Linked DNA regions of Ovis aries. The protein of the gene in region 1 interacts with the protein of each later gene in a pairwise test. Links are inferred from orthologs where the notes say so. Each region holds a gene or a part of one and is shown in the gene's direction. Other genes may lie near its edges. The genes, in order: PAK1 and RHOJ.

Evidence for each region.
Region 2: the proteins of PAK1 (region 1) and RHOJ interact in binary tests that used the Homo sapiens proteins (3 or more experiments, as listed by UniProt). The link is inferred for Ovis aries from reciprocal best matches to the Homo sapiens genes PAK1 and RHOJ.

Annotation. Positions count from the first base shown.
Region 1 is NC_056074.1:16,253,552-16,262,348, forward strand, and holds part of PAK1 (serine/threonine-protein kinase PAK 1), read left to right. Parts: intron 1-2,021; coding exon 2,022-2,121; intron 2,122-6,145; coding exon 6,146-6,342; intron 6,343-8,770; coding exon 8,771-8,797. UniProt on the Homo sapiens protein: Protein kinase involved in intracellular signaling pathways downstream of integrins and receptor-type kinases that plays an important role in cytoskeleton dynamics, in cell adhesion, migration, proliferation, apoptosis, mitosis, and in vesicle-mediated transport processes.
Region 2 is NC_056060.1:73,555,268-73,564,763, forward strand, and holds the start of RHOJ (rho-related GTP-binding protein RhoJ), read left to right. Parts: upstream 1-3,275; 5' UTR 3,276-3,626; coding exon 3,627-3,870; intron 3,871-9,496.

The DNA of each region.
Region 1 (8,797 bases):
GCTGAAGAATTGATGCTTTTGAACTGTGGCATTGGAAAAGACTCTTGAAAGTCCCTTGGACTACAAGGAGATCCAACAAGTCCATCCTAAAGGAAATCAGTCCTGAATACTCATTGAAAGGACTGATGCTGAAGCTGAAACTCCAATACTTTGTCCACCTGATGTGAAGAACTGACTCCTTGGAAAAGACCCTGATGCTGGGAAAGATTGAAGGCAGGAGAAGGAAACGACAGAGGATGAGATGGTTGGATGGCATCACCGACTTGATGGACATGAGTTTGAGCAAGCTCCGGGAGTTGGTGATGGACAGGGAAGCCTGGCGTGCTGCAGTCCATGGGGTTGCAAAGAGTCAGACACAAGTGAGCAACTGAACTGAACTGAAAAAGAAACTCCATACCTATTAGCAGTCACCCCATCCTGCTGCCCCCGCCCAGCCTGTTTCCCATCCCTTCCAGCCCTATGCAGCCACTAGTCTATTTTGTGTCTCTGTTGATTTGCTTATTCCAGGTATTTCATATAAAGGTGATGTGTTCTGATTGGCTCATTTTGCTTAGTGTAATATTTTGAAGGCTCATCTGTTCTATAGCATATGTCCTTTTATTAACAAGTAAGATTCTGTTTATTTGCCTGTCCATCAGCTGATGGACATTTGGGTAATTTCTACTTTTTGACTCTTATGGATAGTGTTGTGAACATTCATGGATAAGTTGTTGGTTGAATATGTTTTTACTTCTCTTGGGTATGTGCCTAGGAGCGGATCTTCTGGTCATGTAGAGACTTTATGTTTAATATTTTGAGGACTGGCCAAGATGTTTACCACAGTGGCTGTACCATTTTATATTCCTACCAGCAATGCATGATGGTTCCAATTTCTAGAAATCATCCTTTCTGTTTATAATTTTTGACATCCAGAGGCCAAAGTCTCCAGCCTCCTTAGGAAAACAGGTCTTACTTTTCCAGGGAAAAGCCGCTTCTGGATATTGGTTTGTTTTTAATTTAGCCATTGATGTATTCTTAGAAAGTAAAGTATTAAGCTGAGAATATTTCAGTACTGTCCTCTAATTGGTTTGCATCTTTTTCATGTTTTTTAATTGGTGGAAGCCTCTAAATTTTAGCTTTGGGTTATGAACTTCCTAATAGATTTAGTAGTAACCTTTATAGCATCTTTTCTGACCCTCACCTTTTACAGATGGGAAGACAGTAGCCCAGAGGGAATAAGAGATTTGTCTAAAATAATTTTATTGGTCAGAACCAGGCATTTTTATTATTCTTTTCAGTCTCTATATTATTCATTCTGCCTATTGAGTCTGTGTGTTTTCCAAGGTTCTTTTCTTTCTTCTTTCTTTACTGTAGCATTTGCCAATTTCAACTATTACCATAACTTGAAAGACTTGTAAACGTTTATTTCAAGTCCAGCTTCTCTACAGCACTCAAGATTCACACCTGCAGTTGCCTGCTGGACATTTGTCTGCAGATGTTTATGGGAATGTAAAAAGCAGAATACAGCAAACAGTACAAACTACCTCACCAAAATAAGATTATCTTCCTAAATTCACGGCTTCTAGTATCTTTCCATTTGTTTAGTTTCCCAAATGTGACTGTTATTTGTCATTTTCCTGTAGTTTTTTCTTTACAAATTCCTTTCCATTCTTCCTCAGTATTTTTTTTTTGCCTTGGGTTCTTTGTCAAGGTGCTAACGTTCTGTAAACAATTCTAAAATACTTTGGAGGAATTCCTGTACCTAAAACTGTTATAAGCTATGTTATAATACACTGTGGTCAAGTATCTTATAAGAAAAGTATGAGGCAACACCAAATATTAAAAAAAAAAAAGTATGTTTAGTAATGAGACAAGAGACTGGATTTTAGACCTGCCTCTTCCATTTATTTGGAGTAAGTTCTTTTACTCACTGGGGTCTCACTTTTGTTATCATAAAATGAGGAGGTTGGATTAGTGATTTTCTGTAAGTCTTCATAATTATTTGTCCTTTCTCTCTCCTTTTGCCCACATCACTTCAACAGTGCCTGCAAGCTTTGGAGTTTCTGCATTCAAACCAAGTTATTCATAGAGACATCAAGAGTGACAACATCCTGTTGGGAATGGATGGCTCTGTCAAGCTAAGTGAGTAGGAGTGATAATCACTTCTCTTCTCTCTGAGACCCTGTCTCCTCTGGGATGGTAATCCTATGAGAGTAGCTACAAGACTCACCAAAGAATCTATTTCCTTGGATATGCCGGCACTTTATGTTACTCAGCACTATATAGGATGACATTTCCCCCCCACTCATTTATACATTAAATGAAAAACATTTATTGTGATGGGCAACAAGGATACTTTTGCCTATATTTAAGTAGTTCTCAACCTACTATGGGAAACATAAAATACATAATTAGAAAAGAGAGTTTAGTGTAATAACTTTCATTCAGTCATTCATTTAGCAAACTTTTATAAAATGTCTGTTTATGTGGTTGGCCATCTGAGAATGAAAAATGTGAGTAAGAACACACAGTTCTTATTGAAGGCCTCGTAATTAAGTGAACATATAATAGCAATATAATATAACTGCAGGCAGAACATTCTGTTCAGAAGTGTAAGGACCAAGAATCCAGAGAAAGAGATTGTGTCACAGGTGGATGGGCAGCTTATGGGAGGACTGTTTGCAGTCTCTACCCTGGGGCACAAGAGGAGGAACTTATTAAAGCAGGGTCATGCCTCAGTTCAGTTCAGTCGCTCAGTCGTGTCCAACTTATTGCGACCCTATGGACTGCAGCACACCAGGCCTCCCTGTCTATCACCAACTCTGGAACTTGCTCAAACTCATGTCCATCAAGTCAGTGATGCCATCCAACCATCTCATCCTCTGTCGTTTCCTTCTCCTGCCTTCAATCTTTCCCAGCATCAGGGTCTTTTCCAAGGAGTCAGTTCTTCACATCAGGTGGACAAAGTATTGGAGTTTCAGCTTCAGCATCAGTCCTTTCAATGAATATTCAGGACTGATTTCCTTTAGGATGGACTTGTTGGATCTCCTTGTAGTCCAAGGGACTTTCAAGAGTCTTCTCCAACACCATAGTTCAGAAACATCAATTCTTCAGCACTCAGCTTTCTTTATAGTCCAACTCTCACATCCGTACTTGACTGGTGGAAAAACCATAGCTTTGACTAGATGGAACTTTTGTCGGCAAAGTAATGTCTCAGCTTTTATTATAATATGTTATCTAGGTTGGTAATAACTTTTCTTTCAAGGAGCAAGTGTCTTTTAATTTCATGGCTGAAGTTACCATCTGCAGTGATTTTGGAGCCCCCCAAAATATTACTGTTTCCCCATCTATTTGCCATGAAGTGATGGAACCAGATGCCATGATGTTAGTTTTCCGAATGTTGAGTTTTAAGCCAACTTTTTCACTCTCCTCTTTCACTTTCATCAAGAGGCTCTTTAGTTTTTCTTTGCTTTCTGCTATAAGGGTAGTGTCATCTGCGTATCAGAGGTGATTGATATTTGTCCCGGCAATCTTGATTCCAGCTTGTGCTTCATCTAGCCCGGCATTTTGCATGATGTACTCTGCATATAAATTAAATAAATAGAGTGACAATATACAGCCTTGACATATTCCTTTTCCTATTTGGAACCAGTCTGTTCTTCCATGTGCAGTTCTAACTGTTGCATATAGATGTCCAAGAGGTAGGTTCGGTGGTCTAGTATTCCCATCTCTTTCAGAATTTTCCACAGTTTGTTGTGATCCACATACTCAGAGTCTTTGGTGTAGTCAGTAAAGCAGAAGTAGATGTTTTTCTGGAACTCTCTTGCTTTTTCGATGATCTAATGGATGTTGCCAGTTTGATCTCTGATTCCTCTGCCTTTTCTAAAACCAGCTTGAACATCTGGAAGTTCACAGTTCATGCATGTTGAAGCCTGGCTTGGAGAATTTTGAGCATTACTTTACTAGCATATGAGATGAGTGCAACTGTGCATTAGTTTGAACATTCTTTGGCATTGCCTTTCTTTGGGATTGGAATGAAAACTGACCTTTTCCAGTGCCGTGGCCACTGCTGAGTTTTCCTAATATGCGGGCATGTTGAGTGCAGCACTTTCACAGCATCATCTTTCAGGATTTGAAACAGCTCAACTGGAATTCCATCATCTCCACTAACTTTGTTCGTAATGATGCTTCCTAAGGCTCACTTGACTTCACATTCCAGGATGTCTGGCTCTAGGTCAGTGGTCATACCATCATGATTATCTGGGTCATGGAGATCTTTTTTGTATAGTTCTTGTGTATATTCTTGCTACCTCTTCTTAATATCTTCTGCTTCTCTCATTTACTGTGCCCATCTTTGCATGAAACGTTACCTTCGTATATCTAATTTTCTTGAAGAGATCGTTAGTCTTTCCCATTCTGTTGTTTTCCTTTATTTCTTTGCACTGATATCTGAGGAAGGCTTTCTTCTCCTTGTTATTCTTTGGAACTCTTCATTCAAATGGGTATATCTTTGATTTTCTCATTTGCTTTTTACTTCTCTTCTTTTCACAACTATTTGTAAGGCCTTCTCAGGCAGCCATTTTGCCTTTTTGTATTTCTTTTTCTTGGGGATGGTCTTGATTCCTGTCTTCTGTACAATGTCACAAACATCCTTCCATAGTTCTTCAGGCACTCTATCAGATCTAATCCCTTGGGTCTATTTGTCACTTCCACTGTATAATCATAAGGGATTTGATTTAGGTCATACCTGAATGGTCTTGTGGTTTTCCCTACTTTCTTCAATTTAAGTCTGAGTTTGGCAATAAGGAGTTCATGATCTGAGCACAGTCAGCTCCTGGTCTTGTTTTTGCTGACTGTATAGAGCTTCTCCTTCTTTGGCTGCAAAGAATATAATCAATCTGATTTTGGTATTGACCATCTGGTAATGTCCATGTGTAGAGTCTTCTCTTGTGCTGTTGGAAGAGGGTGTTGCTATGACCAGTGAATTCTCTTGGCAAAATTCTATTAGCCTTTGCCCTGCTTCATTCTGTACTCCAAGGCCAAATTTGCCTGTTACTCCAGGTGTTTCTTGACTTCCTACTTTTGCATTCCAGTCCCCTATAATGAAAAGGACATCTTTTTTGGGTGTTAGTTCTAGAAGGTCTTGTAGGTCTTCATAGAACCATTCAACTTCAGCTTCTTCAGCCTTACTGGTTGGGGCATAGGCTTGGATTACCGTGATATTGAATGGTTTGCCTTGGAAACAAACAGAGATCAATCTGTCATTTTTGAGATTGCACCTAAATACTGTATTTCGGAGTCTTTTGTTGACTGTGATGGTGACCCCATTTTTCCTATGGGATTCTTGCCCACAACAATAGATAAAATGGTCATCTGAGTTAAATTCACCCATTCCTGTCCATTTTAGTTTGATGACTACTAAAATGCCTATGTTCACTCTTGCCATCTCCTGTTTGACCACTTCCAATTTGCCTTAATTCATGGACATAACATTCCAGGTTCCTATGTAATAGTGCTGTTTACTGCATCGGACTTTGCTTCTATTACTAGTCACATCCACAGGTGGGTGTTGTTTTTGCTTTGGCTCCGTCTTTTCATTCTTTCTGGAATTGTTTCTCCACTGATCTTCAGTAGCATATGGGACACCTACAGACCTGGGGAGTTCGTCTTTCAGTATCCTATCTTTTTGGCTTTTCATATTGTTCATGGGGTTCTCAAAGCAAGAAGACTCAAGTGGTTTGCCATTCCCTTCTCTAGTGGACCACATTTTTTCATGCCTAGTTGTAGATGATTAGGGTTTCATGCCTGAGAAATTAAATAAGGACCTAGTAACCAGATACTGGTATATGGGGATGGTTTTCAGGAAGAAAGCAGAATTTGGGTAGGTAATAAATGTCAAAATGGGCAGCTTAGCCTTTAATGCTAATGTTTATGGTTTGAGGAGGAGTAGGAAGGCAGAAATGATGTTTCATGTGCCTCCTTAAAGTCTGACCAGGGCACAGCCTAGGAGCTGGATATGAAGGTGGCAGTTATGTGACTCCAGCTTTGGAGAGACAAGGGATGTAGTGGTTAGGACACTGGCAGAGCTTGATACCTTGGGGTAGGCACACAGTATTTACAGAAGAAACACTCTGCATATGAACCGCTTCTGTCTTTTCTTTTTCAGCTGATTTTGGATTTTGTGCTCAGATCACCCCAGAGCAGAGCAAACGCAGCACCATGGTGGGAACACCATACTGGATGGCACCAGAGGTTGTGACCCGGAAAGCCTATGGGCCTAAGGTTGACATTTGGTCCTTGGGCATCATGGCCATTGAAATGATTGAAGGAGAGCCCCCATACCTCAACGAAAACCCTCTGAGAGTGAGTGTTACTAGTCCCATATCAAGATGTTTGGGCTGTTGGATTTCTCTTTTCTGGATCAAACTAGGCAGTGATAAAGTATACATGCTTAAAGAAAATGTAAATTAGCAGTCATTCATTCATATATTCAGTGATTATTTGAGTTCTAATGGGCAAGAAACTGTTGTGATAATAATAAAACAAATTAATATATAGTAACAGAAGATAAGAGCTGTGAAAGAAATAGTAAGGGGCTTAAGAGAGTAAGAGGAGGAAGGACAGAGAAGTATGCTGTTTTATTCTAGGTGGAGAATGAATTCCTCTCTTATAAGTTATCTGAGGAGACATCTGAAGAAAAAAAAGGAATGAAAAAGTAAAAAGAAAACTGAAAAAAGGAATGAGTTTTGAGATTAATCTGAAGTAAGAATTTTCAAGTTATCAAGTGTATAAAGAACTTGTTTAGAGAACATACTTGATACATCCTTGGGAAAACCAAGGAGACTAATGTCCCTGAAGTGAGTGAGCAGAGTGGACAAGGTTCTGACCATGTTAAGTTAAAATGTTTATTAGACATCTTAAATGGAGGTATTGAGTAGAATTGGGCATAAGAGTTCAGAGTTCAAGAGTGAGCATTCAGGACTCGAAATACAAATTTATTAGTAGGTATTATATGGTTGGTTTATTTAAAAATCAGAGGTAGATGATAATGAGATCACACACTTAGGGAAAGAGGTAGTACTGAGACCTGGGATACTCTCATATTTACAAATTAGAGGAACCAGCAAAGTTGATCAATGGGCAGCCTTCCTGGTAGAAGGAGAACTGAGAGATGTGTCCTGGAGGCCAAGAGGACAAGTGTTTTGAGAAGGAGGATGGACCAGTGTGTCAAATGTGACTAAGTTGCATTTAAGCCAATGCGAAGTAATGATCATTAGATTTGCCTGTGTGAAGGTTGTTGATGACTTTGACAGTCAGTTTCACTGGAGTGATGGGAACAAAAGCCTGATTAGAGTAAATCCACCAGAGTGAAGAAATGACATGTATAAGCAGTTACTTTTCATCGTTTTCTTTCAGAGGAATTTTGCAGTTATGCTAACAGAGAAGTGAGTGGAGCCATATCTTGAAGTAGCGACTAGGGGGGTTTTCTTTTTTTGTTTTTTGTTTTGAAGATGATATTATCATAGCATGTTTTTGTGCTGATGAGAATTATCTAGTAGAGAGGAAAATGGTCATGTACAAGAGGGATGTGACGTCTGTAGGAGAGATAGTGATATCGTTAAGTAGATCGGGGGGTTGGATGAAGTACTGAAGTAAAGATCATCAAATTAGAACTTGGACAGTTTGTTATTATAATAGGAGAGGGAAAGCAGTGTAAGTGAATACAGATACAAGTAGGTTGATAATTTTGATCATGGGCAAATGTGAGAGTTATTCTGATTGTTTTTATTTTGTTATTTATTCCAACCTCTCACTCAGTGCAAGAATTCCCAGAGTTTTGTCGCTAATCAACAGTCATGTAGTTTTAGCCAGTTACCTCTTGGATAGCCCTGATTATTGAAAAGTGTTTTAGTGTACCAAACTGAAACTACCTTCCATAGTTTCTTTCCTTGCCTCCCAGTATTGCCCTGTGGATCCACATGCCACTCATCTTCCTCCACCTTAGAGTGGCCTTGAAAATGATGATGATTAGTAGTAACAGAAATGAGACTGGGATCAAAGTCAGAGGACATAAGCTTGTGTAAACAGCACAATCCCAAGCATATCTCTTTATGTTTTAGGACTTTATCTGTGAAATGGGGATGATAATTCTTGCTCTGCCTATTACCCAGAGTTATTGTGGTCATTAAATGAGATAGTGTTTGTGTAAACACTTATGAAATAAAGTTCAGATTGCTTTAAAAGGTTTAGTATGATGTTTTTCTTTATCTTTCCCAGGATATGGCTTCATATTAGAGAACCAAGATGGCAACAGTGAAACAGATTGCTCCTTTACAGACTAGTTCCTTTATATATTCTTTTCCTGCTAGAAGAGATCAGTTTTTAGATGACTGAGATGATGGCACCAGGAATAATAAATTTCCTTCAATAAATGGGCAGGTGTTTAACTCATTAGGCTAAATGTATAGTAAACCATTTAGATTTAAATCAATAATAATAAATCCTTGGATCTGTAACACACTTCATAAGCTTATGAAATGCTTACAATATGTTATCTTGTTTTATTTTACAGACATGTGAGATAGGCACTGTTATCATCCCTGTTTTACAGACGAGGAAGTTAGAAATTCACTGGAAATTTGGCTCTTAAGTCATATTCTCTCCATTATACCAAAGCTGCCTCTTTGTCTTCTGAAGGCAGAAAGCAGCCGACCATATTTCTTCGGGGCCTGTCTGGGAACCAGGAAAGAATCCCAGGTAGAGCCCAGGGCAATTCTGTTTGTATTTCCAGGCCTTGTACCTCATTGCCACAAATGGG
Region 2 (9,496 bases), on another chromosome or scaffold:
CACCTCACATGCTAGTAAAGTAATGCTCAAAATACTCCAAGCCAGGCTTCAGCAATACGTGAACCGTGAACTTCCAGATGTTCAAGCTGGTTTTAGAAAAGGCAGAGGAACCAGAGATCAAATTGCCAACATCTGCTGGATCATGGAAAAAGCAAGAGAGTTCCAGAAAAACATCTATTTCTGCTTTATTAACTATGCCAAAGCCTTTGACTGTGTGGATCACAATAAACTGTGGAAAATTCTGAAAGAGATGGGAATACCAGACCACCTAACCTGCCTCTTGAGAAATCTGTATGCAGGTCAGCAAGCAACAGTTAGAACTGGACATGGAACAACAGCCTGGTTCCAAATAGGAAAAGGAGTATGTCAAGGCTGTATATTGTCACCCTGCTTATTTAACTTATATGCAGAGTACATCATGAGAAACGCTGGACTGGAAGAAACACAAGCTGGAATCAAGATTGCCGGGAGAAATATCAATAACCTCAGATATGCAGATGATACCACCCTTATGGCAGAAAGTGAAGAGGAACTCAAAAGCCTCTTGATGAAAGTGAAAAAGGAAAGCGAAAAAGTTGGCTTAAAGCTCAACATTCAGAAAACGAAGATCATGGCATCTGGTTCCACCACTTCATGGGAAATACATGGGGAAACAGTGGAAACAGTATCAGACTTTATTTTGGGGGGCTCCAAGATCACTGCAGATGGTGACTGCAGCCATGAAATTAAAAGACACTTACTCCTTGGAAGAAAAGTTATGATCAACCTAGATAGTATATTCAAAAGCAGAGACATTACTTTGCTGACTAAGGTCTGTCTAGTCAAGGCTATGGTTTTTCCTGTGGTCATGTATGGCTGTGAGAGTTGGACTGTGAAGAAGGCTGAGCGCCGAAGAACTGATGCTTTTGAAATGTGGTGTTGGAGAAGACTCTTGAGAGTCCCTTGGACTGCAAGGAGATCCAACCAGTCCATTCTGAAGGAGATCAACCCTGGGATTTCTTTGGAAGGAATGATGCTAAAGCTGAAGCTCCAGTACCTTGGCCACCTCATGCGAAGAGTTGACTCATTGGAAAAGACTCTGATGCTGGGAGAGATTGGGGGCAGGAGGAGAAGGGGACAACAGAGGATGAGATCGCTGGATGGCATCACGGGCTCAATGGACGTGAGTCTGAGTGAACTCCGGGAGATGGTGATGGACAGGGAGGCCTGGCATGCTGCGATTCATGGGGTCTCAAAGAGTCGGACACGACTGAGCGACTGAAATGAACTGAACTGAACTGAACTGATGGTAACTCTGTGTCAAGCAAGTCTATTGATGTCATTTTTACAACAGCCTTACTTTTTAAATAAGGTCTATACATATTTCTTTGGCCTTTTTTGGGCTTCCCTGGTACCTCAGTCAGTAAAGAAACTGCTGCAGTGCAGGAGACCCAGGTTCAATCCCTGAGTCAGGAAGATCCCCTGGAGAAGGAAATGGCAACCCACTCCAGTATGCTTGCCTGGAAAATCCTATAGACACAGGAGCCTAGAGGGCTACAGTCTACGGGGTCGCAAGAGTCAGACATAACTTAGCGATGAAACCACCACCGCCATGGTAACTCTTTTACATTTTTGAGGAAACTCTATACTGTTTTTCATAGTGACAGCACCAATTTACATTTGCACCAACATTGTACAAAGGTTCCCTTTTCTCCACTTCCTTACCAACACTTGCTGCTTGTAAACTTTTTATGATAGCCATTCTAACAGGTGTGAAGTGATACCTCATTGAAATAGATGTTATTTTAAATTACTGAGCATTGGGAGTTGCTATAGCAATATAATTTGGTAGAAACACAACAACCTAACCAAAACATCATCTCCTTATAGAAAAGAAATATTGGGACACTAAACACTATGGGAAGTGTTACTACAATCCAACACAGAAGAAATATGAGAATATATTGGTTCTACAGTAGCATATGTATGTGGATATATATATTATTGATGCATGAGTAAGTGCACATGTGCTCAGTTGTGTTCGACTTTTGCAACCCCATGGGCTATAGTACACCAGGCTCCCCTGTCCAAGGAATTTTCCAGGCAAGAATACTAGAGTGGTTTGCCATTTCCTACTCCAGGGGATCTTCCTGACCCAAGAATCAAACCACATCTCTTGCATCTCCTGCATTGGCAGGAGAATTCTTTATAGCCACTCATTAAAACAGACTTCTCACCCTACCCCTGGGGAGAAAAAAAAAACCTCCTCAAATCAATTGGATAATCTGAATTCTTAAAATCAATTCTCAAAAATCTCAAAGAAACACACAGTTCCTGCATCAAAAACGTACTTGACCCATTTGTCAGAAACACTTGCAGAGTTCCACTGCTTTTCTAAGATTGAGTACATTAATCACACTCAGTGCTTCAAAGGGGCTTCATTTTGAGTGACCCAACAGACAAATAAATTAGGTGCCAATGGCTCCTTTGTAATTGAAGAGGACCAGGCTGACCAAAGGGAGAAGACTAAATCAAAAATGGAACTGTTCAAGAAAAAGCAGCGTTTGGAGACCTGAAACAAACCAATAAAGCTGTCCCACATACTCTCATTTCCAAAAGTAAGGGTGAGCCAAGACATGTGTGTTTATTCGCTAATAAGAAGATGCAAACATCCCACATCTGATTGATTTCTTATGTGCTACAACCATAAAAATGTTTGTGTCTGGAATACACGTACGAGTGTTGAGCTCAAATGTGGCAGCTTATAAACCTGATCACACATCTTAAACCTACAATCTACAAGAACATTTCCCTTTGAAACAGTGAAACTCTGGAAGGTTTTCTTCTTTATTGCCAGGACAAATTTCTTACGGTTTCTTGTTTAAGTATGTGAAGAACTGTCCAGTTTTAATTTGCAGAGCTTTCAACTGGTGACTCAGTGAGGAATGATGTCATATATTATCCTACAACGGCTGGTGTGGTTCCCCATGTTTCTGTGGCAGACAGGACTCCGGGGTTTTCATCCTTTCGTCAGCCTCTTCCCAGCCAGCCAGAGGCAAACAGGCTCTCCAGCCCTGGATGAAACAGGAAGTCTGACAGCTTGAGTCTGCAGTGGGACCCCTAGTGTTTTCCCACTCCATGTCCTGGCAGCGTTCCCCAGAAGTACAAACACACACACACAGAGCTCCCATTGTTGCAGCCTTCTCCAGCCCACTGATCCTAATATGGAATGCAGCAGGAAACCCATGATTTCCTGACACTCGGCAAGCTGGAGGAAGCAAGGCAAAACTCCATTTAAAAAGCCCAGCTTTCCTCCATGTTAGATGTGAAGTGGAAAACGGGGAAGATTTAGCAAAATTCCACAGTGTCTTCCCTCTGGCTTGGAGAACAGGGGACCAAAGTGAAACCCTCTAGCTGCTGAAATTTCAGGACTCCCAGGAATGCCCTATAATTCGGTGAAGATGAGGATTTCTTAACTTGAACTGATGGGGGAAAGGGACAGATGCTTTTAATCACCCTCCCCAGTGTGCTACCTGTCCTGATCAGTATGGTAAGTGAAAGGGCATGTGCCAGCCACCTCGGACGAGCCTGCAGGGTCCCAGTTACCCAGAGTAAGACAGAGTGATCTCAAGCCTGCCACGGGCTTCATGGGCTTTGGAAGAAGTGGGAGAAGCAACAGCCACAGCACAGTCACAGCAGCTGCAGCCGCGAGCATGAACTGCCAGGAGGGAAATGACAGCAGCTGCGGCTGCGGTGGCCACGAGGAGAAAAAGATGCTCAAGTGTGTGGTGGTGGGGGACGGTGCCGTGGGCAAGACCTGCCTGCTGATGAGCTACGCCAACGACGCCTTCCCCGAGGAGTACGTGCCCACTGTGTTCGATCACTACGCAGGTAAGAAAAGTGGGAAACCCACCCCTGCGTCACAGGTGTGGGAGGTAACATCCCTGCTTCAGAGGGGCCTGGCTTATCTCCACTGCCAGTCCTGGGTGCAGGCCTGGCGCAAGCCAGGTAGCTGGGCGTCACAGCAACCAAGGTCTTTGTGGTTGTTAGAACAACCTGTATATCACTTTTACTGTAACCCTTTTCTCCACTTAAACCAAATGAATAATGCTGGAGAAATACGCAGCATTGCCGTCTAGACTTTGGGGCTAGAAATGTTACTTAATATTTGCCTGAAGATTCATCAACTTTCTTTAATGTGAACATTATAAAATGTACTGTAATTGCATCGCAGTTCTTTTTACCTTTTTATTTTGTATTGGGGTATAGCTGATTAACGATGTGGTGCGTCACAATTCTCTTTTACAAAAAAAAAAAAAACCCACTAGTTACACAACTGGTGAAAGAAGTGTTCTTGCCACTTCTCATATATTCACCCCATGCCATTTATAAATGAAATGCTGAAATTAGTAGTATTAGAACATTCATTTTTCCATAACAATTGGTGCTATCCTGATGTACTTTCATTTTCCTGTGGAAGTAGATTGAAGAAAAAGTATTCAAAGATTTTAAATATCTGTTAGGCAATCTGTATTTTGAATTAAAAGAGGTTTTTAATCAATATGTTTTAAAAGTAAAAATAAAGATTAATATAAAATTTCTTAATTATTTCAACATATGTCCCGAAAGTACAAAATATGGCATAAAATATTTTAAGGTCTGACAGTTAAGATACTGTAGTAACAGCTTAATTCTTTTGGTTATATTGAGTGTTCCAAAGTTTCTCATGTGATCGCTTATCTAATTTTTTCCACTTTGACTCTTATTTTTCTCTTAATCTCTAAAGTAAATCCGATTAAACTTCTTAAAAGCAAATTCACAAAATGTTTCAATTTACAATAGCCCAGATTTTACAACTTTTTGGAATATGATGAACTGCTTGATCACTATAAGATCAGCTTGAGTTACCAGATTTGAGATTTTGTGATAGGGAAATTTCTCTTCTTCACTTTGGCTTTGGGTCCAGAGCAGCAGAGGGGAAATAGCCCACAGGAAACCTGTTTGAGTGCTGGCTTTGCTGTGAGGCTATTTGAAATCCTTTCTATAGGAAGTAGCTTCTTTTCTAGAACTAAACAGTCACCTACGTCTCCTCCTCCTGCTAGATGTACCTGATTTATGACACTATTACATAGCAGTCAGGGAGAAAACCACAGTGAAAATAGCATCCACTCTCTAACAGGTTTTTCTATATTTGTAGAAATTAAGAGCAAATTTGAACACTAATTCCTTTAAGCTTTTCTGAAATTAATGGCTGTGCCCAGAGAAGGGTTTCCCTGGTGGCTCAGACGGTAAAGAATCTGCTTGCACTTGGGAGACTTGAATTTGATCCCTGGATTGGGAAAATCCCCTGGAGAAGGGAATGGCAACCCACTCTAGTATTCTTGCCTGGGAAATCCCATGGACAGACAAGCCTGGTGGGCTACAGTCCATAGGGTCACAAAGAGTCAGACATGACTGAGCAACTAAGCACACACACATACATGCCCAGAGAAGAACCTTTTAATGAGAACAGAAAGAAGAGAAGTACAGACAGACTTTCACCCTGAGGAGAGAAAAAAAAAAATCTAATTGTAAGATTAGGTCTGCAACTTAAGAAAATTAATAGGATCTTGACTGTAAACATCTTAGCAAAGGTTATTTATTCTACATTCTCTTTCTGCCAGGCTAGGGAACTGGCAGATTGTTGTTGTCATCCAGACACTAAGTCTTGTCCAGCTCTTTGTGACCTCTTGGACTGCAGCATGCCAGGCTTCCTTGTCCTTCACTATTTCCTGGAGTTTGCTCAGATTCACGTCCATTGAGTCAGTGATGCCATCCAACCATCTCATCCTCTGTCATCCCCTTCTCCTCCTGCCCTCAGTCTTTCCCAACACCAGGGTCTTTTCCAATGAGTTGGTTCTTGGCATCAGGTGGCCAGAGTATCAGAGCTTCACCTTCAGCATCAGTCCTTCCAATGAATAGCCAGGGTTCTTTCCTTTAGGATTGACTGATTTGATCTCCTTACAGTCCAAAGGACTACCTAATTTCAAAAACTGCTAACAAAAAAAAATAGAACCCACAAGGTTTCGAGTGATTTTAAAAATTGCTTATCCGTGGGATTTCTCTAGTGGTCCAGTGGTTAAGAATCTGCCTTGCAATGAATTGGACTCATTGGTTGGGGAGCTAAGATCCCGCATGCCATGGCCAACTAAGCCCATATGCCACAACCAGAGGGCCCACAAGCTGCACTGAAAGATCCCACATGCTGTAACTAAGAACCAACGCAGCAAAATTAAAATAAGTAAATAAATAATTTTTTAAATTACATATCCCATCTCCAACTTTAGGGCAAACCAATTACAACACAGTGTCAGAAAGAAAAAGGATAAAATTGTCTTTAGAGGTAAAATCAGCCTATAAAAAACATCAGAGAGGAAACAAAGGCTGGACCACCTCTAGATTTCACCAGGAACAAATTATTTTGTTTCAGTTGTATACATACTTGCTGTTATTTGAGCATTAAAGCATCTAGATTTTGGCTATTCCTTGTTTTAGCTCTCAAGATATCACAGCCACTATTACCAAAGCAATACTTTGCTCATAGTTCAGTTCAGTCCAGTCGCTCAGTCGTGTCCGACTCTTTGCAACCCCATGAACCACAGCACGCCAGGCCTCCCTGTCCGTCACCAACTCCCAGAGTTTATCCAAACTCATGTCCATTGAATTGGTGATGCCATCCAACCATCTCATCCTCTGTCATCCCCTTCTCCTCCTGCCCTCAATTTTTCCCAGCATCAGGGTCTTTTCCAATGAGTGAGCTCTTCACATTAGGTGGCCAAAATGTTAGAGTTTCAGCTTCAACATCAGTCCTTCCAAAGAACACCCAGGACAGATCTCCTTTAGGATGGACTGGTTGGGTCTCCTTGCAGTCGAATGGACTCTCAAGAGTCTTTTCCAACACCGTATTTCAAAAGCATCAGTTCTTCGGTGCTCAGCTTTCTTTATAGTCCAACGCTCACATCCATACATGACTATTGGAAAAACAATAGCCTTGACTAGAGGGACCTTTGTTGACAAAGCAATGTCTCTGCTTTTAAATATGCTATCTAGGTTGGTCATAACTTTTCTTCCAAGGAGTAAGCGTCTTTTAATTTCATGGCTGCAGTCACCATCTGCAGTGATTTTGGAGCCCCAAAAAATAAAGTCTGACACTGTTTCCACTGTTTCCCCATGTATTTCCCATGAAGTGATGGGACCAGATACCATGATCTTCATTTTCTGAATGTTGAGCTTTAAGCCAACTTTTTCACTCTCCTCTTTCACTTTCACCAAGAGGCTCTTTAGTTCTTCACTTTCTGCCATAAGGGTGGTGTCATCTGCTATCTGAGGTTATTGATATTTCTCCCAGCAATCTTGATTCCAGCTTGTGCTTCTTCCAGCCCAGCGTTTCTCATGATGTACTCTGCATATAAGTTAAATAACAGGGTGACAATATACAGCTTTGACATACTCCTTTTCCTGTTTGGAACCAGACTGTTGTTCCACGTCCAGTTTTAACTGTTGCTTCCTGACCTGCATACAGATTTCTCAAGAGGCAGGTCAGGTGGGTCTGATATTCCCATCTCTTTCAGAATTTTCCGCAGTTTATTGTGATCCACACAGTCAAAGGCTTTGGCATCATCAGTAAAGCAGAAATAGTTGTTTTTCTGGAACTCTCTTGCTTTTTCCATGATCCAGCAGATGTTGGCAATTTGATCTCTGGTTCCTCTGCCTTTTCTAAAAACAGCTTGAACATCTGGAAGTTCATGGTTCACGTATTGCTGAAGGCTGGTTTGGAGAATTTTGAGCATTACTTTACTAGCATGTGAGAAGAGTGCAATTGTGTGGTAGTTTGAGCATTCTTTGGCATTGCATTTCTGTGGAATGAAAACTGACCTTTTCCAGTCCTGTGACCACTGCTGAGTTTCCAAATTTGCTGACATATTGAGTGCAGCACTTTGACAGCATCATCTTTTAGGATTTGAAACAGCTCAACTGGAATTCCATCACCTCCACTAGCTTTGTTCGTAGTGATGCTTCCTAAGGCCCACTTGACTTAACATTCCAGGATGTCTGGCTCTAGGTGAGTGATCACACCATCATGATTATCTGGGTCGTGAAGATCTTCATATAGTTCTGTACAGTTCTTTTGCTCATAGTAGCCACTCCCAAACATTGTTACTTTTACATTTTGTACATTTTTTAAGTACACAGTATCTCACAAGCTTACACTTTGTACCTTTTTAAAGTACACAATATCTCACATCTTTAAGGGAAATAAAGATGTGAGCCATATACACCTTTGTATATGAAGCCCAATGAAGTGAACATTTTCATCAGTAGAGAGATCTTCTCCACCACAAAGACCCTAACTCTCTTTACCACCATCCTCTTCATGTATGAACTGATTGAACATAAACCCTGACACAGTCACATGAAAATCCACAGTCAGCTGTAGAAGACCTCATGATCTCTTCTCCATGTGGAGAAGTATTCAGTATCTAGTCCCTGGGTCCTTCTGGCTCATTCTGCAGTGACAACCTGCAACTAGTTTACTGAGTCTTTGGAAAACTGAAGTCAAGGAATTCAGAAAAATTCAAGTCAAAGATAGCCTATCCCTTAGAGATGTGAAAGGGCTTCCCTTCTGGTTCTATTGGTAAAGAAACTACCTGCAATGTGGGAGACTGGGTTTGATCCCTGGGTTGGGAAGATCCCCTGGAGAAGGGAAAGACTACCCACTCCAGTATGCTGGCCTGGAGAATTTCATGAGCTGCACAGATTTTTCCCTAATAACTACCTATCTTAGAAAGGTAAAGATATAATAGTATGGTCACATCTGCATACTGCTCAAAGTAGTGAGCTCTGAAGCCAGAGCAGGCCAATTCTAATATTGACTCTGCCATTACTGTGTGGCCTTAAGTAAGTTGCTCAACTTCTCTGTGCCTCAGTTGTCATGAATCTTTTTTTTTTTTTTTGTCATGAATCTTTTAAAGGGACAGTAGAGATACTAAGGTCATGAGAACAAAATAAATCAATACATGTAGTTCTTAGAACAATGTCTTACATATGGTAAGTATTAGGTACATAGCAGCTACTATGATTAAGCATAGGGATTAAGCATTGGTTAAGATAGCATCACCAATTCAATGGACATGAATCTGAGCAAACTCTGGGAGATAGTGAAGGATGGGGAAGCCTGGTATGCATGGGGTCAGTCCATGGAGTCACAAAGAGTCGGACGCAACCTAACAACTGAACAACAAAATCTTATATACACAATGAATAAACAAAGTCTTACTGCATGGCACAGGGAATTACATTCAATATCCTGTGAAAAACCATAATGGAAAAGAATATAAAAAATTATAGCTACATGTATAACTAAATCACTTTGCTATATAGTAGAAATCAACACAATGTTTTAAATCAACTGTACTTCAATAAGAAAAAAGAATAGGGTCTCTACACTTGAATACAGATATGAAAAGGAATTAAAGTA